Linked DNA regions of Mytilus edulis. The protein of the gene in region 4 purifies or fractionates together with the protein of the main gene of each other region. This does not show direct contact. Links are inferred from orthologs where the notes say so. Each region holds a gene or a part of one and is shown on either strand. Other genes may lie near its edges. The genes, in order: F-box/LRR-repeat protein 5-like, general transcription and DNA repair factor IIH helicase subunit XPD-like, threonylcarbamoyladenosine tRNA methylthiotransferase-like and cytosolic iron-sulfur assembly component 2B-like.

Evidence for each region.
Region 1: the proteins of cytosolic iron-sulfur assembly component 2B-like (region 4) and F-box/LRR-repeat protein 5-like purify together in Homo sapiens (affinity purification with mass spectrometry; 3 studies listed by BioGRID and IntAct, counting the BioPlex papers as one, with this or other methods). This does not show direct contact. The link is inferred for Mytilus edulis from reciprocal best matches to the Homo sapiens genes CIAO2B and FBXL5.
Region 2: the proteins of cytosolic iron-sulfur assembly component 2B-like (region 4) and general transcription and DNA repair factor IIH helicase subunit XPD-like purify together in Homo sapiens (affinity purification with western blotting; 3 studies listed by BioGRID and IntAct, with this or other methods). This does not show direct contact. The link is inferred for Mytilus edulis from reciprocal best matches to the Homo sapiens genes CIAO2B and ERCC2.
Region 3: the proteins of cytosolic iron-sulfur assembly component 2B-like (region 4) and threonylcarbamoyladenosine tRNA methylthiotransferase-like purify together in Homo sapiens (affinity purification with mass spectrometry; 3 studies listed by BioGRID and IntAct, with this or other methods). This does not show direct contact. The link is inferred for Mytilus edulis from reciprocal best matches to the Homo sapiens genes CIAO2B and CDKAL1.

The regions. Positions count from the first base shown.
Region 1 is NC_092344.1:83,470,712-83,478,148, forward strand, and holds the start of F-box/LRR-repeat protein 5-like, read left to right. Parts: upstream 1-4,430; 5' UTR 4,431-4,458; coding exon 4,459-4,545; intron 4,546-7,437. Other genes in the region: protein SPMIP1-like, read right to left, coding at 3,705-4,286.
Region 2 is NC_092346.1:11,156,889-11,164,670, reverse strand, and holds the start of general transcription and DNA repair factor IIH helicase subunit XPD-like, read right to left. Parts: upstream 3,024-7,782; 5' UTR 2,945-3,023; coding exon 2,940-2,944; exon of another isoform or gene 2,822-2,939; intron 1-2,821. UniProt on the Homo sapiens protein: ATP-dependent 5'-3' DNA helicase. Component of the general transcription and DNA repair factor IIH (TFIIH) core complex, not absolutely essential for minimal transcription in vitro.
Region 3 is NC_092344.1:115,480,877-115,488,253, forward strand, and holds the start of threonylcarbamoyladenosine tRNA methylthiotransferase-like, read left to right. Parts: upstream 1-4,364; 5' UTR 4,365-4,469; intron 4,470-7,377. Other genes in the region: uncharacterized protein, read right to left, coding at 4,250-4,303. UniProt on the Homo sapiens protein: Catalyzes the methylthiolation of N6-threonylcarbamoyladenosine (t(6)A), leading to the formation of 2-methylthio-N6-threonylcarbamoyladenosine (ms(2)t(6)A) at position 37 in tRNAs that read codons beginning with adenine.
Region 4 is NC_092348.1:64,362,726-64,369,573, reverse strand, and holds the start of cytosolic iron-sulfur assembly component 2B-like, read left to right. Parts: upstream 1-3,821; 5' UTR 3,822-3,870; coding exon 3,871-3,994; intron 3,995-5,267; coding exon 5,268-5,347; intron 5,348-6,165; coding exon 6,166-6,291; intron 6,292-6,796; coding exon 6,797-6,842; intron 6,843-6,848. Other genes in the region: cytochrome b5-like, read right to left, coding at 1-4, 3,641-3,748.

The DNA.
Region 1 (7,437 bases), on a different chromosome or scaffold from region 4:
ACTTCATCACGAATTACATTGAATTGCTTTTTAAATGTTTGTGTATTGATCAATATTGGGTGCAAACATCATTTGCTGTTTTTATATTCAGTTAGGTCATTTGAGCTTGAAATTTAAATTAGAAATATTTTACCTATTATAAACTGAGACCATTTAAAATTTAAAACATTTTCATAAACGTGTCTGGACGGCCACTTCTATAGATCGATTGAAATCCCGTTAGATCCATTATACTTAGGTTGGTTTTCATACTAATATGTACTGAATAGGTATATTTTAAAATTTATTGACTTAATTCCATGTTTAAATATTTGTAACCAATAAACACACACAGAGATAGATACAATATACGTGTGCTCCTAAGACCATTTTATGTCCTGAACAAGGTTTAGATTTATTCTGAATTGTTCATATGTCAAAAACGATGGAGGTGGTATTTATAAATCAATTTAGTATTCAGTAAAGATGCGAGGATTTGCATACATTAGAAGATGATGCTTTATATTCGGGATTATTTTGAAATTCGCTGAATTGTTTTTATGTTTTTCTTATTGTATATTTTTCTTATTGTTGAGAGACTAGACATTCCGTCTTAAATGTTTTAACTCGATGATATGTAGATCTGTATAGAAATGAAGCAATGAAATGGGTTTGGTTGTTACTAGTTCTGCATTATGTATTGATTTTCGTTCCGTAGAGAGTATACTATGACCCGAAAATTGTTTGCTCAAAAACTATCCTCTTAGATCTGGTACAGCAGGACTTGTGACTTTAAGACCCTTTCGAACGACAATATAGACACCTTATAACTGCATTTTTTTCATTTAAGATAACAATAAAACAGCAGCACTGCATCGCAATTGGGAAAATATAAAACAGCTTCTTCTAAATTTTAAATTGTTTGAAAAGGAATGTGCTGTCAATATTTGTATTTTTGCACTTGTCCCGAATGAACCAATGTAGAATAAGTTGATAATTTTGTAAGCATACTTCTTTTTTAATATTAACTAGTGTTATATGGTGAAGTTTTCTTAAAAAAGGTGGATTTAATCGAATATTAACAAATAGATGTTTTTCTTTCGTTGTGTTGCTTGAATCCGTTTGGAATTTTATAAGTTGAATACACAGTTTGGTTATCTAAATGTCATCACATATGACATGATGTCGCTTTATCTATGATACTTGATGGTAAAAGAGGGATATCCCCTCCTGGTTAAAAACAACAATGGAAACACTTTGTTTTGCTTCAAGTTGATAAACCAAAAGAATTTCGCACGGGGTGTAAGAGTCAAACAATCGCCCATTGAATGTTTGTTGTATTAAGTATCAGTACAACTTGTTACCCGTATCCGGGACATTAGATTTTTTTGAGACTCTTCATAGATTAGATAGTCGATGGAGTGACCGTTCATAATATAGACTTTATAGTTTCTTATCAAATAAACAAACAGAAATCTTGAAATTTAATCGATGTCTGAGATTTAATATTATTTCTAAAATTAAAATAAATTTGTGATAAAAATGTCAAGTGTAAATACGTCTTTAAAAGGGACCGGTTGTTCCCCGATTCCGATGATTGATCATTCAATGAATTAGTTATTTCTGACAAAACATATATACTACAAATATATATTTCTTGAATGGCATTGCAGAAATTCTGTTTAAAAAAAACCAGTTTCTTAAAATACATAAATAAGTCGGAAGTAAGTCTAATTTGAAGCCATCGGTTATTTGAATGTTACTTTCAGTAGAGGTAATCTTTTGGAAGATAGGACCAAAAACGATATTTACAGATATTTACAAACATGACACATTTTAAAACAAAAATAACTTGACTGGTGCACCCAAAGAAATGTAATTTTTGTTTAACTAATTTAAGTTCCAACTTCTTTAATGGAGTGCTACTTTGTGTATTTGTTTCAAAGGAGTCGGTACACCCTTTAAATTCCTATTTTCTCTCCATCATTCAATGGACCACATCTCTGACTGTGTGCTCTAGTGTGTGACTAGTGGCGTTTTGGGTAATTTCCAATTTTTTAATTAGTTTTATTTACCGTTCAATTATTGTGACTGAGCTTTGATTTTGATGTGCATTCAAATTGTGCTGTAAACAAAGTTTAAATGTCGTGTTGATTGATGTTGATATACATATTTGTCATAACTGCCGACGATCCACCAGTCTGACACGCGACGAGGGGGGGTACAGTACAATCTGAAACTGAGAATTACAAGCCGTCGATCAATGATTAAACCTTCAACTCTTCGAAATGAGAACAAATCATATCCGAGAATGACAACAAACGTAGAAAATCCCGACCTCAGTTTTCAATACATTTTTTACATTCATCTATATACATATTCTGACTATATATCATCATCACGGTGACCGTTTCTTATGATTTTAACTGTAAAGCAACCAACACTCATCAAATTTTAAACTTTTTAGTAAACTGCAACAAGAAACAAGGATACATATAACATTGAGATATTTAAACAGTCACAAGCTGTTACGAGCTTTATACTTTTCCCCCTTCTTGTAGACTAGCTCAAATAAACAAATTGGCAGTGATACTAATTTTGTTACAACTTCATGGCGAGTCAGTATTTATGTATGTTTGGAAATAACGACAGGTTCATTTATTTCACATATTTTTATGCCCTGAAAGTCCGCCCATCCTTCATCAAATCAACTTTTTTAATTGTTGGTAAAACATTGTAGTTTTACTGTACTCAAAATAGCGTATTTAATCCACGTATTTTCCTTGTATACCTATGAATAAAAATGGAGTAGATATTTTACAATTAATCGGGTAGGTATTGAACGAATAATACGCTGTGTCAGATGAAAAATTCATGAACTATCGCTTTTTGCAGGTAACATAGGTACATGAAACAAGTTCAGATCCTTAAATCAATATCGTTCCGAAGAGAGATTTCCATCTTATTAAAGGAATCGATTTGTTTGACAATGTAATCCTATGATTTGCACCTAAGCGACTGATAAGAAAGTTATTTTAATTTATAGCATTATGAAATAAACATCACATACACAATATGATAGTAACGTGTATGCAATACGCAGGAATTTATATTTTTACTATTCATTGAATGTGGACATATTGCCAAAGATATAAATTTTCATTTGAAAGGGTCCTATAGCTGAATGGCAATTCGATTTTTGTATTCTTCATAAACGCAAATTTCTAAAAGAATAATGCAGAGTGTCACAATAACAAAAATTTAATATGAATATGAAACATTGGAAAATATATATTCGAAATGATAAAAATATTGTATAAAATCAAAGTACATATATATACAAAATGTTTATGTACAAATTTGCCAACTGGACGGACTGGCACTGGTAAGGGCTAGAGTATACAATACTCTCAGCAAAACGATTCAAATATTCTTAAACAGTTTATAGAAACATGCAAAGCATAAACAAATAAACATGACACATGAGCACACAAGCTGTGAAGTGTTTGAGCAAATGAAATAATACTACATGTAAATCTCCTCGCAACACAACTGATTAAAATCCATAACCATTTAATTATTTCTACATGACAATTGAGTGTAATTACTCTGAATGTTATTATTGTGAAATATGCACTAGGCAACGAGAGTTTGACTTTACAAAAGAATCACAGTTATTGAAATGCGGAATGGTTTCTTTTCGAATTTTCGCCTTCAAATCGAGTTTATACACTTACACGTGGATTGGCAGGTATTCCTGTTCGGGTATAAAAAGTGTCTGCTACAATTTTTGTACGCCCGTGCTGAGGTTTTTTAATGTCTTCTTTTGGAATGACATCCCCAAGTCTCCAACCGTATTCCCAAGAACTAAGAAGTGGGAAAGAAAACTTATCTTCAGGACTGTCCTTGTACCTTGAATGTAGATATTGATATCGTCCTTTTCCTTCCTTTGTAAATCCGTCGTATAACTTTTCCTTGACTCTCAAATCCACCGGCCGCATTTCTGCAACAAGTTGCGCAAGTCCTTTTTCTGATTTTTCGTTTTGTAAATCTTCAAAGTTCGACTTCTTTTTGTTGAATTGTTGTGGAGCATAATCACCTGATATTTTGTTGAACATGTCCTCGGCCGGTTTGGGAGCATTTTGTATTTTTCTTCTAGCAACTTCAGATTGTTTTGAAGCACCAATGTTGGCTCCCGAATTTTCCCTTAATTTGTAATACCACTGAAGTCTAGTGTCTCTTTCTTTGTTGTAAGACTCCTCCAAAAATTTCTGGACTTGTGTATTGGCAGGATAGTTCCGTGCCATGTCTGTATTTGGTTATTCACTTTCCAAAAACTTCAAAAACTAATTTTTACACTTCGTATCACTGTTTGACAACTTACCGGGACACTGCACGAGCGTTTAAGATTCCTATAGCAACCCGGCGTCACAATCTCGCATCTCGCGAGAAAACGTGAGAGTCAAAAGAAAAACAAATATGGCGCCGAATTGTCCTGAAGAAGTCGATGTTTTCACAATTCCTCATTCTCGAATGAAGGAATTGGTCAAAAAATATCTTAACATGGTACACACAAAATCCCAAATACTATCATTGTTTTTCTTAAAATCATTACTGCTGTCGTTTCAATGACTAATGAACAGAGCGAAAAAGAAAAAAAAAAAACACCAAAAGTCACTACCACATAATTTTCAGCAAAACTTGCTAAATAGTCATTCCCAAAAAATGGGAACAATTCAAATGTAGACACTGTTAAAAAATAAATTTCAACTGAGCAGAGAGAGAGTGTTGTTTTCTTCTGTGTCTATATCTAGTCTGTCATTTTTGTCGAGCCTGCAACTTTTGTTGCAGAAAGCTCGACATAGGGATAGTGATCCGGCGGCGGTGTTAGCTAACTTCTTAAAAGCTTTATATTTTAGAAGGTGGAAGACCTGGATGCTTCATACTTTGTATATAGATGCCTCATGTTACGAAGGTTCCGCCAGTCACATGTCCAATGTCCTTGACCTCATTTTCATGGTTCAGTGACCACTTGAAAAAAAAGTTCAGATTTTTTGTAATGTTGAATTCTCTCTTATTATAAGTAATAGGATACCTATATTTGATATGTGCGTACCTTGAAAGGTCCTCATGTCTGTCAGACAGTTTTCACTTGACCTCGACCTCATTTCATGGATCAGTGAACAAGGTTAAGTTTTGGTGGTCAAGTCCATATCTCAGATACTACAAGCAATAGGGCTAGCATATTCGGTGTATGGAAGGACTGTAAGGTGTACATGTCCAACTGGCAGGTGTCATCTGACCTTGACCTCATTTTCATGGTTCAGTGGTTATAGTTAAATTTTTGTGTTTTGGTCTGTTTTTCTCATACTATATGCAATAGGTCTACTATATTTGTTGTATGGAATGATTGTAAGGTGTACCTATCTAGCGGGCAGATGTCATGTGACCTTGACCTCATTTTCATGGTTCAGTGGTCAAAGTTAAGTTTTTGAGTTTTGGTCTTTTTATCTAATACTATATGCCATAGGTCATCTATATTTGGTGTATGGAAATATGTTATGATCTTTATGTCAGTCGCGCAGGTTTTGTTTGACCGTGACCTCATTTTCACGGTTCATTGCACAGTGTTAAGTTTTTGTGTTTTGGTCTATTTTTCTTAAACTATAAGTAATAGGTCAACTATATATGTTGTATAGAAGCATTGTTAGCTGTACATGTCTGCCTGGCATGGTTCATCTGACCTTGACCTCATTTTTAAGGTTCATTGGTTTTTGTTTAGTTATCTTGGTTAATGTTAAGTTTATGTGACAGTTGTATTAAAGCTTAGCTTTATACTTAGGACTATCAACATAATATCAATGATTAGTATAGAAGGCGAGACATTTCAGCGTGTCCACTCTTGTTTTTATTTTTACTTACACCATTTTAGTTGTTTTCTAGTTTTAGCATTTTTTGTAAGACAAGGTAAGTATGAACGTATCGGAGGTTAGTGTTGTATAAAGTCATCTTAAAAATTGCATTAGAGAAAAACACAAGATTTAAATCCAGGCTCATGTGAAATGGGTTACATTTACCACCATAGCAAAATGATTTATACGTATTATTCTGTATATATTGAAAGCAAAAACCAATTTTAAGGTCTGAATTAATATAGTGTTTAAAAAATAATTCAAGTAGTTTTCACAACTTATTTAGTAATAAATTTAAACTAATGAAATGTTATGCTGTATAATATTTTAGTTTCATAATACAGCTTTCCAGGAAAAACCCTATTATTTATGTTTTGAATCACTTGTATGTATTTTTTATGCTTGTATTAATCCACAATCCCATCTTTGTTACGGAGGTTGATATCAAACCAGTATCTGAATGCTGATACATAGTAACACTTAACTCTTTAATGCTAGCTTTTCTAAACAATTCATTGAATTTACAAACTAAAAAACTGTTTTCTATGATATCAAGTTATATGTTTCTTTTAGTCAAATGGACTTGTTCTTGTCAAAATCTCCGTAACGATTCATGAACTTTCACTCAAAAATATGTTTTACCTAAACCGAATACTGTTCAACTTAATTTTATTAGCTCTATACAGATAATGTCATTTTCCTTCACACCATAATGTATGTATTATACTCAACTAGTCAAAATAGTTTCATTTCGAAAATTTCTATCCTCCGTTACAACATTTAAAACCTCCATAACGGACAATTCCAGTTCTTACCAACAGCAAACATATAAATGAATGTAAATATTGGAATTAAATGACAAACAAGACAACAGAATTAAATATTTTTCTTAGTAAATCGTTATCTAAAAAAGAGTAAAGTCCTGTTAGAGAAAAAAAACTTTTTTTCCTTAAATTTCTATCCTCCGTAACGTAAATCAGTGATGTCGTCTATGATTGACATCACCTTTTGATTTTTATTAGTGATAATTGATGAACTGATTTGGTATCTATAACAATGTACAAGAATTTCAATTGGTATGATCGTGTTTACATGCATCTTTAGATGTTTTTTATTTGCATAACCTCTGTTACATTGATGAGTCCTAAATAATCTTGAAAATGTTTGCCATAAACCGCTGTTAAAGTTATAATTGTCGTCGTAATTACACAAGTTGTGTTGTAGACTATTTAAATCTAAGAAAATGGCTGATATAACATTTATTAAACGTTATAATGTTGCTCACATAATAGGAAAAAACAAGTTAACCTACCTTTCTCAAAACAACATTTTTTTTCTCAAAATCTGTATTTTGTTTGTCTGTTTTCTTTATAATAAATGATGTCTGCTATAAAAATGTCTTTCGGCAGTGTCGGCAGCCGCTGATACAGATCAAAAAGTCTGACAACTTAACTGTAAATAACTGCGTCACGGAGGTTAGTTTTATTTACATTATACATGGAAATATGTAACCATATTGTTCAGTTGCTTTCTCAAAACTGATTAT
Region 2 (7,782 bases), on a different chromosome or scaffold from region 4:
CCGGTAGTAAAATTTGTCCCACAGACTTTTTTTCCTAGTTAATCAAGTCCATGTCCATGATTTTACTAGGAATATAAGTCCTAGGACAAATGTTCCTAGGAAAATAAGTCCATAGCTAGTAAATTATGTCTGGCAATTGTCCGAAGACTTGTTTTTCTTATAGTTTTATTATATCATATAAAAATATATTTAAAATAGATGAAAAAAATGTTAGATAAGATTGGAAAATTTCCTTATTTTTACATAAATTTTATTTAAAAAATTGATACACAACTCTTTAACAATATTAAAACATACAATGTATTACATTTATATTCACCTTTTAAAATTAAGGGCATGGACATTTTAACCTAGAACTATTAATGACATGGACATGATTTCCTAGGAAAATTAGTCTGGAGACAAATTTTATTGAACAGATTGATACACAACTTTTTCATTTTGTCTTTAGCAATATTAAAACATATTACATTCATATTCACCTTTTAAAATTAAGGGCATGGACATTTTAACTTAAGACTACATGTATTAAGGACATGGACATGATTTTCTTGGAAAATTAGTCTGGGGACATGAATTTTATCAAAAATATAACTATGCAACTCTTAAACATTACTAAGGCCACACCAATTCGATCCCTTGTTTGACGGACCCGCCCGCACCTATTTTTTTCAAAACAGAATTTTTTTATTTTTTTTATATTCCCGCTTCCCGCATCCGGAATTGTAATCATGTCCATTTCCCGCACCGTTTTTTGTTGTTGTAAATATTATAAAAAGATATCAACATTTGTTAAATCACAGTGAGTCTAACCTGTATATAACGATTTTAAACATAAAAGCACCCCACCACACTGTGTAAATATCTGTGAGAATATTTGTTTCAGCATGAAACCTGGAGTGCTCCGATAAAAAGTTATAACAGCGGGTATTTCCGTGAAGAACAAAAAATTGGTTTCTTTCCCCCTTACTTATATTCCCTATCAAAAAAATGTTCGTTGTTAGAATAAAGTACAAAGAACTTCTGAAGGATTTGCCTTCAACTGTAATTATATTGTATGCTGGCGAAACAAAACTATCCATAGTCGCTGCATGTTTATGCACCTGTCCTGATTGATTCAGGAGCATGGCGTTCAGCAGTTATCGTTTGTTGATGTTGTTCATTGGTATTATATAAATTAGATCGTTGGTTTTCCTGTTCGAATTGTGTACGCTAATAATTTTGGGGTCCTTTATAGCTTGCTGTTTGGTCTTTATCAAAGCCCTGTGTAAAAGGCCGTACTTTGACCTGTGTTTGTTATTATCAGGTTGAGAACAACCCTCCCTCAGACAAGGGGTCATTTTACTGATGTAGAAAAGAAAATAGTTCTTCTATACAAAACCTTTGAACACTTAGAATTTTGTACTCAAAAAGAGGAGAGTTACATCCTATTTTAAACATTTTTTCTAAAAGAGGGGTCCACTAATTTTGAATAATATTAAACTGTTAAAGTAAATGTGTTAACATGGTTAAAGTCCAGGAATATTTCTAAATTCTTGGACATGTTTTGACCATTTAATACCAGATAGATATATATTTCTATTAGAAAATATGAGCCCTTTTGTACAAACAAATATATTATAACTTATATTGATCCCTCATAAAACATGTAAAAGGGATATTTATAACATTAAGGGGTTGCCCCAAAACTGATTATGATTCGGATGGAGAATTGTCTCATTGTCAGTCACACATACATAGACCAGATTTAATTATTTCTTGGTGAACAGGGAAAAAATACTTCAGAAATTAAAGAAATGTCAAAGTACAAGTGATAAATCAAGTTTTAATATTGTCAAAACCTATTATTTTATGTTTACAAAAAAAAATTATAATCGCTCGCCTTTACTTTTCAAGCTTCGCCTCAAAAATTTGCAAATTAAATATTTTTTTATTAAAATTTTCAAATCGCTCGCTCACCCCAAATTTTGGAGTCCAAAAATCCGTAGAACAAGAAATTAAATTGGTGTGGCCTAAAACATAACATTTTAAATTTCCATGGTTTGAATGTACATGTAATTGAACTTATTATATGATTTTAAAGGACATGATTACCTAGGAAAATTAGTCTGGGGACATATATTACTAACATCGGACTAAATATACTAGTAAATTCTGTAACCATGGACTTTTTATACTACATGTAGTAATGTTTGTCCGCCCAGACATTTTTTACCAGGACAAATTTATCACTTACATAAACACGAAGTTCAAAAAAGTTCAAAACAATGTGGCTATGTTTTCATGAGACCCGGATAGCTTTAATTTTGTTATATGAATTAATTAGGAACTGAAATTGTCAACATTGTTTTTATTGCACACTAATTGTTTTTATCAGGATTATATAATCTGACAAAGGCATCATTTTTTTTTTAAATAGCCCTTATTACATGTATCTGTTAACCTTTGACACATTGTTTTCTTAGTGGTCAAGTAAATTGTCGGCCACTTTAATTTTCAACTATTTCTGGCAACACTTACATATTGACAATTTATTAATATTTTTTCGTAAACAATATCGATTATTTTGCATATAAACTAATTAATTTAATAATTATTCTTTATTTCGAATCCCCCAATTTTAATAGTTTTCTATCGGCTGACTTGTTTACTTGTTCCAAATGCTAATTTACTACGTGACACGATAAGCTGTCATCAAAACAAAAAATCAGTAATCCCGCTTTTCGGGGCATTTAAATCTTAACAGATTGATCAGTTTCCAGTCCCGTTAGTATAAAATTATAAATAGTCCTAGCTGATGCTGATAAATTATTTTTGCTACTCTAGTTCTCCCTATTTGAGTTTTTTTTAATTTTACACTTCATTCTTCATCTATACTTAATCTATTATGGTATTTTTCTAACAAGTAGGATTTTGATAATTAAGACGTAAAGCATTACTTCATGATTCAACTTTTTAAACAAATGTTGCTGATCATGCCGATTTGTTTTCACCGGAAGTAGTTTTCGGATCTAAATAACTACCTATGTATGTATGTACTGGTAAATGCCTCCGATATCCGAAGAACCCCTCGAAAGCTGCGAGGGTACAGTGGCATCCATGTACACTCCCTAACGGGATTAATGGAGATGTGTCACTAACGTATATTTATACGACAATTATTTTTACAAGGACAACCAATCCCCACCCAATTCAACACAAAGGGAGTGCTAGGACACCGGGAAGTCTGTTATTGTGGTGGAGGAAGCCGAAGTACTCGGAGAGAACCACCGGGCCACTCGGTGGAAACAGACAAACCAGAGAGATATCAGAAGATTGATCTCCAGGTCAAAGTAGGGACACTTTGACCAACCGAGGCCCCCAACGTACCCATTCTAGTTTAAACTCCGGTCTGGGTACCAGAGATGTGTGTGAGAGGGTGAAAATTACCCTTCTAATGTACTGAGATTTTTAGCACCCCGAGTGAGAATCGAACTCGGGACCTTCAGCACTGTAGCCATCGGTCTTAACCACTAGACCACGAACTCACACAAAATACATCCTTTGTTAACAATATAAGGCTGCTGCGGTCATAGAGTGTTGTCAGCGACGTCCGCGTTGTGGCATTTGTTGCATCCGGCTGTGGTCTGTAGTACTTTTCGTTGTGTTTAATGAACTCGTTTAAGGTTCATCATAAGGAATTGAAAAATATGGCCGTGTTTACACTTCCAAAATTACTATGAGTACAGACAAACTGGTACATCCAGGAAAGTTTTAAGGCATGGCAGGAACTAGATATATAAAAGTTATATGAAGTCTACGTTTCAGAAAATTAAAAACTTACCTGGATTTTGATGTTCATTTTTTTCCAGTCTGCAGAAGATAGCAAAATAAACAAACACCCGAGTTTCATTTGATACGGTCCACTCAGATACACAGTTTAAACCTGTTAAATAACCTATTGTTTACAGGTGTCTATTGTCAATTTAAATCAATACTACTCACAACATTGATAATATGAGGGGAGCTTCTCAATCGTTTTCACTACTTAGTTAATTTTTGCACCTTCTGCAGGAACGAAAAAAAATGGATAGCAAAATCTAGAAAAGTTTATAATTTTCTGAAACATAAAATGCATTTAAAATTTATATATCTAGTTCCTGCCATCCCTTAAAACTGTTGCAGGTGTATAGGTTAGTCTGTACTCAGAGTAAAATTTGGGGTGTAAATACGGCCATTTTAGCCAAAAGGTTATGATGAACCTTAATTGATGAAATTAGTTGCATGTTACTGACAAAAATATATCGCAAATAATTTTAATTATGTAGAAGGGGAATTCCATTTTAAGATTGAGTCGATTCTATTTATATCTTCAGGGGGAAATGGTTGGATAATAGTTCATTGTTTTCTCGGAAATTTTAAGACGCATGATTGAATGGGAATGCATGGACATCAAAGATAAGGTAACACCATAGATGTAATATCTATGGTAACACTAATATATTTCTAGATTTTTATTAGTGTAAAAAATGAAGTTTCATTTCTTGCCATATCAATTTTGACTGTGTATACTGCATGAGTGGGTCGTCCAAAATGAACGACTGGAGCAACACAGAAAAACGTTGACTATTACTGGAAAATTATGTATTTTTAAACAACAGTGAATACTGTGGGTACTAAATGTATTATATAATCTAAAAAAAAAAATGACTTATTGAACAGTTCATAAATGGGGTCAAAGTCCATTTACTTGAATTAATTCGAGAAATATGCGGAAGTAAGTCAATTCAAAGGCGGATCTAGAGGGCCCTTGGGGGCCTGGGGCCCCTTTTCATTGGAAAATTTGGTTGATTATTTATATATGGAATCAATCAATCAATCATGACTGGAGCGGACCAACCCAGGTCATTCAGCGACCCCTTTTTATAAAAAGTTCTGGATCCCGGCGCCACTGTTAGCAAACAACACGATTCATTTTAATCTTGTTGAATAATGTTGATGTGATAACGTTTGCTTTGTGGTCTCCAGTATCATTTTTCCCTAATGTGACCTACCGAATTAGAATTATTACCGGGTTTGTACCGTGACATGAGCCACAAGTGAAACAGGATCAATTTACCCTTCCGGAGCACCTGGGATCACATAAAGTTTTTTTCGGGATTCCTGTTGCTGTCTTTAGTTTTCTATGTTGTGTGTTGTGTTTTGTGTACTATTGTTTGTCTGTTGATATTTTACTTTTTTAAGCTATGGCATTGTCAGTTTATTTTCGACTGACGAGTTTAAATGTCCCTCCTGTATCTTTCGCATCTCATTTTAATATAATTCAAACCTTATACTTAGCTATGCATTGACTGCTCTACTTATTTGTACAGAAATTTGTTTGCTGAAACTGAAATAATAAATAAAATAAATATACATGCAAGTTTATGCTCTCATTTTAGGTAATGTGATATTAACCTGGACATGATTTGATAACCATGCGGCAATGACAGAACTTTCACATTACGTGTGACCAATGTTACCTAAGCCTGTAACTCTCATTCCACAAATGTCCTACAATTAACTACCATGAGTAAAAGTAAGTAAACTTTGTTGTTATTTATTATACATATCATATGTGAATCATTTTAGTTAACGCACAAAATAAACCAAGTCAAATCTTAATTACCTATAAATATGATGTATTCACAGAAATAAATGAACTGTGAAGTATATATTAACGTCAATGAGACAAAACTAACTACGAAACTAACTACAAACAGTTTTACCAAAAGGGAAATTCTTATTTGGAAAAGGATTATACGACCTGAAAAGCACAGTAAATGTTTTGTTATAGTTTTTTCGAGATACACTTTACCAGGCTTTATTATCGTTTTGATGAAGACCAACTGGGCTCCTTTTGTCGCAGGTTGTTCCTTTGCTGTTATGAATGACTTTTTAATTGTCGAGTTTAAGCTATGTCTAGTTGTATTTGTTCCTGTCTAACAGAAATTCGCCTGGAAACTTTGTTATAAACAATGCCATAATATGTGTTCCGCTTGGAACAAACATCCTAAACCCTTTTTAACTCACCTGGAATAAAAGGTCAATCAATCACCTCTAAATACTTAGCGCCCGTCGATCTTCGATTGACACCCGTCGTTCTTCGACCGACGGTCCGTCCCCAATCGTCGTCTTGTCCTTCATCCGTCGTCCGTTGTCATCTGTTTACTTTTATAGAAATCTTCTCTAAATCTATTGGACTATATTTAATAAACTTAACCCCAATCATCACTTGGGTATATAGTTTAAAAAAATGTGTCCAATGATCAATGGCCTTCCAACCAAAATGGCCTACATGGCTTAAAATAGAAATAGGCGTCAAATATAAGTTTGACTATTACTTTTAAAACCGCTATAGGTAATGAAAATCTAGCAGGGAAAACATGTTCAGAATGTTGAGCTACATTTATTTTCGTGTGTGTCGAAACTGTGAAACGTCTTCTTATAAGAGTTCTTGCCCTCAAATGATGTATTTTACTATTTTAAAAAATGTTCGTTATTTAACTCGGCAATTATAGAGATTATGACCAGCAAGACAAGATCTACAAACAAGTCAAACGTGGCCAAATCTTCAGTCGACACCTTATTGTCTAATCAGTTATTGCCCTATAATAACGATTTTTGCCTAATTTCTAACTATTAAAGAAAGATAGACACTTTTAAAAAGAAAAAAAAAACAGCAAGATAATAGTTATCAAAGGTACCAGGATTATAATTTAATACGCAGACGCGCGTTTCGTCTACACAAGACTCATCAGTCACGCTCAGATCAAAATAATTATAAAGCCAAACAAGTACAAAGTGCATTTGAGGACTACTAAACAGGATCATGACTTGCAGATTAGAGGAATTTCGTTTTCGTGACAGCTTCACATAAACTCAACGGAAACGCAGCTTGAAAGATGTTATCATATTCTGAAGACACACTCTTCATGTAAAACGCAGATGAAATTAAAAAAAATGAAATATACCGACACCTTATATACATTATTGCCCTTCAACTTTTTGAATTTAAACATTCCCGATGAAGGTAAACCCAGAAAGGTGACACGCACTTAATTTTTATACGACTGCAAAATGTTTGCGTTCGTATATTATGACGATTTATACTGCACTCGTTCTATTTGAGCAGTCATAATGCGTTGACTGTATATTTCTATGTCATATACAGTCACTGACCCGCTATCACTTTTCCTCACGAATATTTAAATAGAAGTTGCCGAAATAATATTTAATTATTCATACGACCTCTTCAACCTGTTCTTGTTTCCCATGCATACAACTATGCATGGAACGACTCAACCTTGTTTCTTTTGCAATTATTGGAAAAACATATTTCATTTGTTAATAATTTTTGTTTGCAACCTATAAATCATTATGTTTTATGCTTATGGTTGATATTTTAGTCCATACTCAAACGATTTCGTTCACCATCGAGTGTGGGTTTCAACAGGTAAATGTACATTTCATTGCGTTGTATATTTCTCCACGAGCATGATATGAGGCCTTTCTAAAGGGGATTTCCCCAAATATTTAAATAAATAAATAACCTTAACGCATTAAACAAATTAAAATGTTTTTCTAGATTGCAGTATAAAGACAATAATAGTACATTGGCTAGAAACATCAACGATATAAGGATTCGGCCCGAAACGGGGAAATAGCTCGGCAGAGCATCGCATTTCCCCGTTTCTAAGCCTCATCCTTATATCGTTGGTATGTCAAGTCAATGCACTATTATTGTCTATATAAGTGTATGGA
Region 3 (7,377 bases), on a different chromosome or scaffold from region 4:
GCGACTCTAATCCCCTTATGCACGATTCCATTTTATCGTAAAATACTCTTATGCTGTGCGGCGTAAGTGACGGATGCGTAAGTTCAAGTAGATTCTGCATGTATGCGTTTATAATGGTTTGTGTCTGTCCATACCTCTCCTTTAACAATATGATTGCGTGTTCATAGTTGGCGTTTGATAGAGATAAACCGGATATGCATTGTGCGGCTTCACTGTGTACCTGAGATTTGAGATAGCTGAACTTTTGTATATTTGTCAAAGAGGGATTGTGATGAATGGTTGTTTCAAACGATTCCCAAAATGTCTGCCATGTTAATATATCTCCCGTAAAGTTCGGTAAATCAAGCTTAGGTAGTTTGTGATAGAAGTTTGTTGCTGTTGTTGGGTTTGCATTCGTAAACGGAGCTATTATCTACGGTATATACATTTTCTGAATGGTTTGAATTATGATTTGCAATACTTGTTGACGGAAAATTTGATGAATCAAGTGTATTGGCTATTGGAACATAAGTTGTTTCACTCACCGTTTGCTGAAATTGGGTTGTTTTGTTTCCAGTAACTATGTCCTTGAATCGGCGAATGGCGACTTCCATATTCATTGCATAATCGTCCGCGTCAAGAATTTCTTGTTCCATGTCTTCTAGTTCGGTTCCATCTAAGATCTGTGAGTCTAAAGATTCAAGCAGGTTCCTCTTTTTTGTAAGGTTGTCTGCGGCAGCCGAAAGTTCTTCATGTTCGATATCATCTTGCGAAATTCTTTCCTTTGTTCTATTAATTAATCTTGTAACTGCACTACGTTGACCACCACGAATTGCTTTTAATTTCTCCATGGGTCAGGCACCAATATCGTGTATCGTGTTTCTTGTGGTTAGTACTTCGCTTAAGGGTTAGTAATGAAAGGCGTTGTGTTCATATCAAATTGTATTCAAGTTATGTTCAAGGCAACGTTACGTAAAACAATAGGCAACGTAAACAATAGGTAACGTTAGTGACGTTAGTTACTTAGTAAATGTACAGCGGCTAATACTTGACAATGGCTTCCATGAATTATTTTGATTCTAATGGAACAAATACGGTCATTAAAATACAGAAGTGAGGGTTGGTTTGTGTGTGTGTGGCTGATCTTTTTTACTCCTTGTTCAAGTAGATAAAGCTCAAATATTTTAATAAATCCGTAGCTTGCATGGGTTATTTCATGAATAACCGCTAGAAAAAAACTGTTTAACTCTTCTAATTCTCAAACCCAACATTTGCCATTTTTAATTTACATGATTTTCTCGTAAGCTTCCGCCAAATCAAAAGTTGACATTTTGTAACTAAGGAGCCACCATGTTGACTTGCTGAAATTAGTAAATATGCAAATAATGCAATAGATTTGAAAATAAAACAAAACCTATCTCAAAAATCAGTTTTAATACAATAACATACGAATTTTGATGGTTCACGCAACAGAAAACTTTCAACTTTAGCGGTTTCATTTGTGTGACATCATGTTTTGAAATTGGACTTAAATGCGTCAAAAAAAATAATAGACTGGCACAGAATTTTATCTTATATTTATTTTGTTGATTTCTCCGAGCTCTTGTGCATTACTGCTTTTTTTTTTGCACCCTAATAAGAATAACAGTTATTTTGTCTTTTTTTAATTGCACTTTTTAAATCAATAAAATCGGCAAAGGGTCTGCAAATAGGTTCCAATACATGTAGATTTACGTGGGAAGTATATTGTAACAGCCATTATTATGTATATCTCTGAGTCTTTGCTAAGTATAGATATATCGAGAATTTTATCACAGTTTTGTTTACAAAGCGAAAGAAGCACATCATAAAAATGTATAAGAATAAATTTTCAACTTTTATTAGTATCACATGTGATTTTTTTTAATTCTGTTTTATATAATTCATCATAAATTATTGGGATTTTACCCTTTTTCTTAATTGGGGCTAGTTAACAGGGATTTAACGCTCTTCGTGAGTGGGGTTAGTTGGTGAAAAGAGTGGAGTGATTTTTTAGAAAGTGGACAAGTTGGAAAACAAGAGTGGTCAAGTTGGTGAAAAAGTTGGGCGGTTTCGTGAGGGGCAATTTGGCAGTTTCAAACTTTTGGCAAATAGGAAATGGCTAAATCATGTATATGACAGAATCAAAAATTGCTTATTTGCTTAAACTACATATTATAAAACTGAAGACTACACATTCAATTATCCCCTTCATAGGACAGATTTGGGAGGTCTGTGGCAACCCTCATAAATGGGTACCAGTGTGAGATCCTCCTAACTTGTAGATGCCAAAATAACTAAGTTTTTATTCGGACAGCCAGATGGACAGGCCAGCAACCAAAGTAAAAAGGGAAATTAAATTGTTAGCATACATGTATATAGCTAAATGTACATGGCCAACAACCAAAGTAAAAAGGGAAATTAAATTGTTAGCATACATGTATATAGCTAAATGTACATGGCCAACAACCAAAGTAAAAAGGGAAATTAAATTGTTAGCATACATGTATATAGCTAAATGTACATGGCCAACTTTTATTGGGATAAAATTTTGTAATGACAAGGCCGTAACTAGGCATCTTATTTTAGTGAGGCAAAATAATTGAGCCGAGCGAAGCGAGGCGAAATTTTTTTTGGAGGGTATGAAATGAATGGTGCAAAATCCTGCATTCTAAGCATTTTTAGAGAGTTTGATAATGTTTTGAATTTGGACACTTTTTATATAAATTTTTCATATTTTAAGACTTTTACTAACACCAAATTTTTAACAACTTTATTTAAATGTATATGTAAGATAATCATCCAAATATCACTGATTTGAGTCTGCTGCCAGATCATAGAACAAACATCGATTCAGTAGAATTTGCCAAAGTTTTCTATGGCCGGTTCAGTCAAATCGTTTTAGAATCATAATTTGGTCTGCTGATATCCTTATCGCGATGAAAATGGAGCATGGCAAGACCGCACAATCTCTCGCCACTCATGCATGCTCTTTGCCAAGTTTTCAGTCGTTTCAGGGCAGTCTGTGTTTCAAAAGGTAGCACATTATCATCAACACAATGATCAATGTCTTCTTACAATTCCTTCTCCATCAGCAATTCGGTAGCAGCATCGGTAGTAACAGTTTTGTTTCCAAAAGGGAATTAAGCTTTCCTGTAAGCACTATCATACAGTTGCAGTTACAAAATATTAAACTCGCTTTTATGCTGACAAAGAGTAGACAAACTAGGGATAGAATGAGATAAGATACATGTATATGATTCTATCTATAGAGTAAGTATACATGATATGGGTACAGGGGAATTGGAATGGAGTTTTTGACGTTTACATGTAGGTCCATAATTTCAAATTATTTCTAGAAATAGTTGGAGATATTTTAGTTTCAGAATCTATAAATTTAGGGGTTAGGATTGGGGGTGTACGATTACGAAACCCAGAATATAAAGAAATGAAATTCCCTAGTCCCGAATAAGTAAAGACAAAATCCTGTGTTAACGGTTCTACAATTCCTCAATAATATCAAATTGGAATATGGATATTCTTTCAATTTTTAAGGTTAAAGAAACATGGATAAAAACTAATCCATGCATGTTTCATATTATTTATATTTTATTTATCTGTAAAGAGAAAGGTTAAAGTTCGTGAAATGAATACGCAGACAGGACTGCCCCCTTGCGATACCCAGTACTTTATTTGTCAAAAGTTGGTGAAATGGAGAAATGAATACGCAGACAGGACTGCCCCCTTCCGAAGACCAGTACTTGATTTGTCAGTCTACTTATCGTTTTTGGATTGTTCTAATGAAGTTATATGCAATACTCAGACTCTGTTCACAAAAAAACTAGTTTACTAGAATTATTCCTTCTTTACCTTCAGTGTCGCTTTTCTAGATTTTTCTGCAAGAGCCTGTTTTTAACTAGAGATCCATGATGATTATCGTTACTAGGTTAATGTAATCGAGAAACATCACCCGTAGAGATGCTGAGTTATATCCAGGAAGAATAGTTTAAAAGGAATGGTGACAAGTTGTAGAAATTAAGGTTGAGACAGAACAACAAATGACTATTATATTTATATATATGTATAAAAAAAATTATCAGTGTCGAAATTTTAGTGAGGCAATTGCATCACTTGCCTCAAGGGTAGTTACGGCCTTGAATGACTTTATTTAAAGAGGGTGACTCCATTTGTGGATGTTTTCATGGGTGAATAGTGAATAAATGAATGTAACATGTATTCTTGAAAGTTAAACCTTTGATTGTGACACAGGATAACACTCTGTTGCTACTTTACAGCTAATTGTCATTGTGGGACTCTACTTTCACTTTCATGTGATACAAAGAGCTCTCTAATTTGAAGGTTAAAATCAGAGATTCACGTTGTGCTTCCGGTTGCATGAAATTTCAACAGAAAAAGTTGATGAAAGAAATGAGAAGTGTTCCTTAGAACCAAGTTTGAACCATAGATTATCAGTAGGTTTAAATTAAAAGTATTTATTTGTGTGTGAAATAGCTGATGAATCTTTCACCGGAATATGTTTAATATTAAGGTTCACATATAAGGTTCATGTGGACCCTATGGTCTGTACTCAGAGTAAATTTTGAGGTGAAAATACGGCCATTTTAGCCATAGGGTCCACATGAACCTTAAGGTAGACAGGCTTGTAAAAGCAAGTGCAACAGGCACTTGTTTCTGTCAATGTGGGGTTTACTAATATGAGGCAGGCATTTCCTGTGATTGGGGACGAAGTCTGTAATTTTTTTTTTAATTCAAACATGTTGATAAAAGAAACGGAAATACCGTAACGTTTCCGATGTTGGTTCTGTTGTTAGGGATTAAGTTGTGACGTTGTTTAAGTTATGACGTCATATTCAATGTAAACAAAGAAACGCTGTTATCCAGGTAACGTTTTTTTCATATCAAACAATTATTAAAAATGATTGGGTGTTGAGTTCCTTCCTATATTTGTTGATATGTTGATAAATATACATTTTATTCAAAGTCTCATGCAAACAAGACCGGAAACGGAAGTAGATCTGAAAAAAAAGTTAACAATTTTGAGTTCATTAGTACAGTAAAAAATTCGGGAAATTTTCCCGAATTTTTTTTTTTTTTTAAATTTTTCTACCGTAATTGGGGACTTCGTCCCCATATAATTTAGCACGGTTGACACACATATTTTTCGTACGGTTGTGAAAAGTAAACCCCTCATTGACAGAAACAAGTGCATTGAAAATATCTATCTTTTTATAATCACTTTCGCCCTGATTTCGTTCCTTAATGTGAGTCAGGTGTTGTTTAAAGTCTTTTAAATAGGATTTGTTAATCAGTCTTATTCATTGTTTTGTAGTTTTGTATATGCATGATTACTAATCTGAGTAACCAAATCATTGTTTATTCTTTGTGCAATGCCAATGACATTATCGTCAGACCTTATATTTTCGTAAGTCTTATGTCATACTATGCATGCTTTTTCATTGGAAAATGTGACAGACACGACATTGCTTTTATATAGCTCAAACACCCATAAAACAAGGATACATATGTACATTGTAACATTCCCACAGAGCTCCAGATAAGCTGCATATTTGCGTGATCACACGATAAAAATAATTGAAAACCCAATGCAATTGCCCATTGCAGAGTTCTAAAACCCCAATTCATGCAAAGAAAAACCCAATAATTTGTTAAAACCATAAGTTCTTCATGCTTTTTGTCGCTATAGTGTTGGTTATTTACCCTTATCTATTCCATAGTCGTCGCATAGATCTATTTTTGTAATATTAAAAATCAGGAAATGTCCTTTCGTTCAAAAAATAGATTGTTGAAAGGGTCCCTGTTGAAATGTTCCAATGCTAAAAGGTACTTGTGGTGAGGAAACATTTCTATCTTCTCTGTCTTTATCCAATTAGCGTAAGCCATGTCGTCATAATTCTTTCCGTACTTCTCAGGATTTAACAAACCACTTAGCAATGAATTAAAACAAAAGTAAATTTCCGGTAAAAACATTAAATAGAAGCATGTTTTAGTTTCCTTTTGAGAGGATTATGATAATAACAAGACTCAGCTAGTGTTGTCAGGAAGCGTCCCTTGAACACACAGGGTCGTGCAATGGCGCGTCCAGGATGGTTTGCGTGACTTAACAATAACAGGGTTAGAATTCATCAAAACTAAAACTAAAACCCTTGTAAATCCAGATTTATGTTAATAAAATTATACAAAAACATTGTTTATTTTTAGTTCAAGAGTATATATAGTACATATGTATATATTTCATTTTAGTTGATGAGTGAACACACACATTCAATATTGTGTAAATGAAAAAACCCAATACATTAAGAAGCTTGGTGGTGAAAACCTCAATTTGATATTTGCTTGAGGGGTGACTTGGAATTACAAAAAAAAAATGTAATAATGCAATTGAAAAACTATTTCACTCAATTAAAAAAAAAATGGAGGGGTAAAAACCCCAATTTGGGAATTCTTATCTGGAGCTCTGTTCCCAAACATGTACATCCCCCAAACCGTGTTCGTTTCTCACAAACATGTCTATAGACGTATTTATACTTGTAAACAAGTTTGTCCGCTATTACGTAAAAATCAAACAGGTTCCGGTAAACTTTGACATCACAATTCAAAACATTTCACGTCACAATTTAAAGGGATTGTTGCTTGACGTCAGAAGGTTATTCTAAGGCAAAATTCAGCTAAATACCAAAAGTCTAAATACATTTATTTTGCCTAAATGTATCTTAAAAAAGTTGATATCGCCTAAAAGTGACCAATTTCATAACCACTTGAAAGTGTCAAGTAATTGCTATTTGCCAAAACATATCCACTTTAAAACTCCAGAATGTCTGAAAACTTCAAGCGTTATAGTCGCCTTCATGTAAAATTGGCGCTATGTTTTTTGTTGAATTTTTTAAAAATAACCAGTAGTGTTCACCCAAAATGACGTTTTGTAATTTGCGGCATTAAAAATATTTAAAGAAAAACAATACTGTCCTACCGTTAATTGTTTTTGCACTTTATCAGGGCTTAGGCCACAATGGTAAAGAAGTAGCTTTCCCGTCCTTCATTTTGCTTTGCCTGACCCCCAAAAGCAAAAACAAGTCGCCCTGTTGTTTACGATACTTGTTTTCCGTTGCTTTCGTCATCCGCAATATTCAATTTTTACTAAGTCGATGATATAGCATTTTTTTTATTTAAAAGTAAAGAAATTCAAGGCATAAAGAGTTTAAAGCATTGATTTTTAAGCTGGTGGCATGACTAATGTTAATTGATAAAAATAATTTTTTAACTCTTCATGTACTTCTTATTCAAGGAACGTACTTAAAATCATTCTCACTTTCGGCAAAATAAGTTGTTAATTCATTAGAA
Region 4 (6,848 bases):
GATGCTGAAATACAGGAAACTAATATTAAAATCATATTTATTTATTTACGATTGTGGTTACTCATTAAAATAACAAATTACATGAATAGAGAGTATATTATCCCAAGTACACTCATCACTTTCAAAATTGAGAATGGAAATGGGGAATATGCCATAGAGACAACAACCGGACAAAACAGCAGATAACAGCCAAAGGCCACCGATGGGTCTTCAATGCAGCAAGAAAATTCCAAATCAAGAGGTAGGCATCATCTAAATAAAAATCTGTACTAGTTCAGTGAAAATGGACGTAATACAAAACTCCAAAACATTTAAATGAACTAAAATGAAACCAGATGCTCTGCAGGGTGCAGCTTTATACGACCGCAGAGGTCGAACCCTGAACAGTTGGGGCAAGTATGAACAGTTGGACACAACATTTAAGCTTGATACAGCTCTGAATTTGGATTGTGATTAAATAGTTGACACAACATGGGTTTCTGACACAGAATGAATGTGGTCTAAGAACTTAAACTTAATCAAAGTGATGGAAATCACTCATGGAAAGATTAGAAGAGTAGTTTGAATAATTTCATATTAAGGTATGGTGAGGGAAAATGATCATTAATAAAGCACTATTGGAGAAAATTGCATTTACAGCAGGTCTTTAGAAGGAGAAGAGTTTTTCCAGTATGAGGATAAAATGAGCTCAAATTAAATAATACGGCTCTCTTAACTTGCACAATTTTATTTAAACTGCAGTTTATATCTTATCCAAATAATGTTGCCTGTGCTGAACATAAAATCGAGACCAACAGCTAAGAACATTAAAGTGTCAACAAAAATAATCTAAAAATGTTGTTTTGTGAAACATAGGTTATATGACATTGAAAGATTAAAAGTCGTAGAGTGTCTCAATATTTAAAGTATTTTTCAACACAGGGCATTGAAAATGTACTTTTTCAATGTAAACAAATTAAAAAAACTTTTTTTTATTGAAATGTGGATTGATGGGGAATAAACTAATAATTAAATAAACAATGGTTTGTTATAATTAAAAGTTTTAAAATTTTAAAACTGTTTCAAGCCAAATCCTGATAAAAAAAATTAGGGAACCAATCTAAATTGTTGATTAATTACAGTCTACAGATGTTTATTGGAAATTCATTAAGAAAATTATAGGCCTTACTTGAATATCTTATATATATATATATATATATATTCATATTCATATTTCATTTTTTTTTTTATAAGATCTTGTTATTCCATTATTTATCTTTCAGACATAATTTACAGAATCACTTTATGTAATCACAGGGATCTCCATGGATGAAAATTGAACGATGGAGGAACTTTCACCATTACAAACCGTGACTACGCTGTAAAGTGTAGCGCGATCGGAAGTATTTTATTCTTCCATACAGGGAATGGTGAACATGCTAATTCAATTGCTTATTTAAATTATATTTATTTGAATTTTCATTATAGAATTAGAAGTATCAATATTTTCATTTATTGCCGTTTTTAATCATTCAAATGCCAAGTCTTCATGGTCCCCCCTTAGTTGAGAATGACCAAAAGCTGTCATGGAGGTCCCCATGTAGATTTTTTGTATTTTTGGTAATTGTTATGGGGGTTAAAAATCATATGATGTGGAGCTTATTTTTCATGGACACTGTCAAATTCAGAACCCATTACCGGTATGGCTGATTTGCAGCAACAACAAAACGATTCGTACGGGTTATGTAAAAGGTTAAAGAGATTTATAAAGCAAATGTTGACAAATGAAAAGGTTTTTAATGACTTTATCTTGCAAATTGATGCTGTGCAACATGCCGCATCTTTCGAGTCTAAAAAAGTAACCGGAAACGCGGATGTATCAATTTGATTGTAATATACGAAATGAATTCGGAATTACGATACGATATTTCTTTACAGGAAATATTTAAATTTTTACTTTTAAACTTTTAAAGTAATTCTAAATTATCGTTACAGTAGTACTCAAGTTATTTGCGATGAAATAATATTTACTGTTTTGCGTCTTATTTTGTACTTCTTTAAAAAGGAGGATGCTGATTGCGTAAGTCAAAATAAAGCATGTGTTCGACTTGTTCAACTGTTTTCTTTGTAACTGGATTATTTATTAATTTAATCTAAATTATCATAATCATTTGCTGAAACTTATTTGGTTAATTCGACAAATGGATCGTCTATCCTCAGATAGTATTCTCCTGTCTGGTTTGTTGATCTACCTGTACAAGCTCAGGTACAAGTGATTAGCGATCTTAATCCGGATACCCCCCAGGCGTTAGAACTGTATTGGATTATAACATAAAAAGCCTAAGGGTTATGCAATGACATGCATTTGATTATAATTGATAAAAAAAATGGCGTCGGGCTACAAAAAAACGATGAAGTTTTGAACGATGGCGGAAGACAATTTAACGATGGCGCAAGACAATTTAACGATGGAGCAAGTCATTTGACGATGGCGCAAGACATTTGAACGATGGCGGGGCGCCATCGTTAAACAGGCCATGGAGATCCCTGATAATCATAATGTAGATAAAAAGAAATAGGAAATAATAAATGTATCAAACATCTAATATACACATTTGTGTATTCAATTATGAGGTCAAATATTTGTATATTGAGTTGCATATATATTAGAGTATAATTATGTAACACAGATGTTGAAAGGTAATGTGGTCAATTTGATTGACAGTTTAGGAGGTGGGGCATTATAATTAAAGGTCTACCTTGTCTCTTATTGTTTGTTGATAATGCCAGTTGTCAATCATATGAGTATTGTATCAATACTCAATAACCTAATCAAAATGTTTTAAAATAAGCCTGCACATCAACAAACTTTAATGATATACATTCTTAAATGAACTGCTCCAAAAATATACCCATTTTTTTCAGTTTATATGTGTATTATGTGCACATACATGAGAACTATAGGGAACTATATTTCAGTGTGAAAACATTTAGTAAAGGTAGCTAACCTGTAGTGTTGTTAGGGAGGCCAGTGCCTTTAGAGTAAAGATTTAAAACAAGTTCTTATCTTTCCAAAAAAATTTAAATTAGACATTTACCTATTTATGGTCCAATATCCAAAATCTAAATACATGGTTAGATTCAGCATAACATAGAACCCCAAGAATTCAATGTTCAATTTTAGACCCTTTATTTCGTTATCAAGCACCGGTAAGGGGAGTCTAAACATTTTGTTGATTTTTGTTTTAATTTTTATTTTGTTAACATCAAAATTGGGACATAGTAAATGGGACCAAGAACTTTACAGGAAAATATAGCTATTTTAACTTAGAATTAAATTGTGAAAGATTTGTTTAAGTGTGTTGAGTATGATGTCATATGGTACTTGTATATAAAGGTTAAAATGTGGATTGATACAGAACTGCAGTTTTACCCATTCATAAATTATACACAGGAATATTATAGTACAATAAAATTTACATTTTAATATAAAATTATTATCATGTATTAGCTTTGAACATGCCGAATGATGAATTTCTTTCATTTGTCCATAATTTATCCTTTCAATTTTTGTTTCGTACGTCCTACATCTTGACCTTTATGATTATGTGTCCCAATGTGAATGTCAAGTCTTTAAAACCATCTGCCCATCATAACTTACCTCTTCAAGAAACTTTGAAACATCATAAACATTATCATGAATGATCATAAGAGTCTTTGTTTTATCAGTGTTGTTCTTTACGTCGGCTTCTCTGAAAACTTTCGTCATTTTGCAAAAGTCGAGATTTCGTGAATGTCCCGGAAATGAAAGAAAACTTATAAAATTCGAAACGGACGAACAGAGTTACTCCCCTTAATATTTTTCCGGATTAGCATGAAATTCACTTCAAAATGTCCCAAAATGATTTAGACAATGCAAATCCTACAATATACGAAGTTGGTTCTGAGAGACCGGTCTTACCAGAGGAAGAAGATGAAAGTGTTACAGACAAAATAGATACAAGAGAAGTTTTTGGTAAGATAAACTAAATAATACGACAGCTGACTAAATCAGAACCATGTCATGGGTACCACTTGCTAAAGCTGCAACTTTAGTAAACATTTAAATTAAAACTGTATTGCCAGGTCTGTCTTGTCACCCTTATAAAACACACAGGCACTCGTCTCAGATTTTTTTTTCTAAAGGTATATAGGATTTTTTTTTTGAGACGAGTGCCTGTGCTTAAACACTGCATAATATTGCCTAGGCCAATTAAATGATTATGACGTCTTGAAAGGCCATTATAATTTTTTTCTTTGACTCCTAACTTCGACATATTGCCTTACACATCAAAAACACTACCAACCCCTATCATGCCATTACAATACAAAATATCTCAATAGACCACTTTCTACTTCCAGTTATGTCCTTCATTGGAAAAGATTGTCAATTGATTATGTGCACCTTTATGACATCATTTACCATATATAGGATCCCATGTATCTCTGCTCTATCTAAATTCATCAAGCGTCTTTATAATTGTCATTTTGCCGCATAAACCGGAAATAAAGTTTGTTCCGTAATACTATTATCACAATTCCCTGAATACAGAATAAATTGTGCAATACATCAGCATATTTTTTTCAACCTCTTCCTCAACATATAATTTGGTAGGAAGTGACAATGCCTCTTAACTATCTAATGATGTTCCAATTGCAAGCACTGAGATATTGTATCTATTGGGAGATATATAGGCTCATCATATGATTATCATGCTCCACAGATATATGGAAAGGTCACTATGGGAAAATGTAAATCATCTCTTTTGTTATACTTTGTTGTAGTTTAGGTTTAAGTTTCACAACTATACACATTCACTATCATGATTATAGTCGCTAAAGCAATTGTAAAACCCATGAAATCAATCCATGACAGTTGATGCCTTTGAAAGCATAAAGATATATATTTATAAATTACTTTCTTGATCAACTTCTAATAGTTGACAATACTTCACCATTTGAATGGTTTAACACTAGTCATATTTGAGGCCCTTTAAAGCTTGTCATTCATTGTGAGCGAAAGTTCTGTGTTGAAGACCGTTCTTTGACCTATAATGGTTTACTTTTACAAATTGTGACTTGGATGGACAGTGATCTCATTGGCACTGATACCACAGCTTCTTATATCTATTCACATATTGAGCCAGGGGGCAAATTTCTAAGTCTTTATTTTTTATTTCTGATTGATACTTTAATCAATTATCTTTACCATAACTGTAGCATATAGTTAAATAATATGTTTATTTCAGATTTGATCCGTGTTATAAATGACCCTGAACATCCACTGACATTAGAGGAATTGAATGTTGTTGAGCAAAGCAAAGTTATTGTAAGTATATTACTATCAACTGAATAAAAAAGATTACTGTAAATTCAGAAATTATTGCGATGATTTTATTATTGTGAAAAATGGGACAGGGTTATAATAGCAATAATTTAAATTCGCATTTTGAAATTTTTCCTTAAATTAAACAGGATTTTTCTCAATATGGCAAAAAAATAAAATCACATTGTAGTCTAAATTGACAAAAATTGCAATAATAAATGCATGCAATAATTACTGAATTTACAGTAGATGCTAGTAATGTCATTTATTTTAATCTTACAAGCATAATGTGATGTGTTTCTGGATAACTGTCTTCTGAGCTACATTGTTCATTATTTAACCTTTTATAAAGTATCTGCTGTAAAAAAGACTCACCTTGAGTGGGAACATAAACAAATTTAAGAACTAAAAAGAAATATAGTGTATTGGCAATTGAATGTCCGTAACCCTCATTTGAATTCAAGAGATATCTAAAAGAAAATTAAAATCAGATGAAATAAAATCATAACTTCAAGATATATTTTCAAGAGACTGTTTTGAGTCTGCAAGTGGAAATAATAATTATAAATACATTACATCATTAATCATGTTAATCAGTGCTTGATTTCCCATATTGGATGTTTTCAGACAAGTCGCAGGAAAAATCTCAAAAGAGCTATAGTGAAATATCTAACTTTATTCAGATTGATTAAATTGAGAATGGAAATGGAGAATATGTCATAGAGACAACAACCCGACCAAAGAGCAGACAGCCGTGAATAGAAGTTGTACATTTCATTAGAATTATATGCACCATAATGTTATGTGAATTTTTCTTTCAGGTAGATGATGATGCTAACAAAGTGACGATAGAATTTACACCCACAATTCCACACTGTAGTATGGCAACATTGATTGGATTGTCTATTCGGGTTAAACTTCTAAGATCTCTGCCACCAAGATTCAAGGTATCAAAAATGTAACATAAAGCCACAGAAAAACATCCTTAAAAATAAAAAAACTTAATTTCAAAAAAGTTATTGGCAAGGATTTGTATAGTAAGACTATACTATACAAATCCTTGTTATTGGTAAGCTGAGGATTTTTTATTGGAGCAAGAGCATTGCAAGACCTTATATAGCATTTTTATGAGTTTCTTGTAATGTATCAATGATTTAGCTGATAGAAAAAGAAAAGTATCAGAAGTTTTTATTTGAAAATAATACACTTTGTGCTTTGGGTTCATATGAATATTTTGCTGCTCTCTTAAAAGATATTAAAGACAAAAATAATTAAAATATTAATAGCTAAACAGTATATCTCAGTTCAGGGTTTCACCTTAGCAGTCATATAAAGCTGTGCCCTGTGGAGCATCTGATTGTCATATCTGAAAAACAATGATAAATAGAAAAATTGCAAAAATTATCAACAAGATTTTCACTCCTGTCAGATCATGTAATTTTTTAATTGCAGGTAGATGTTTCAATAACACCTGGAGCACATGCATCGGAAGAAGCAGGTAACT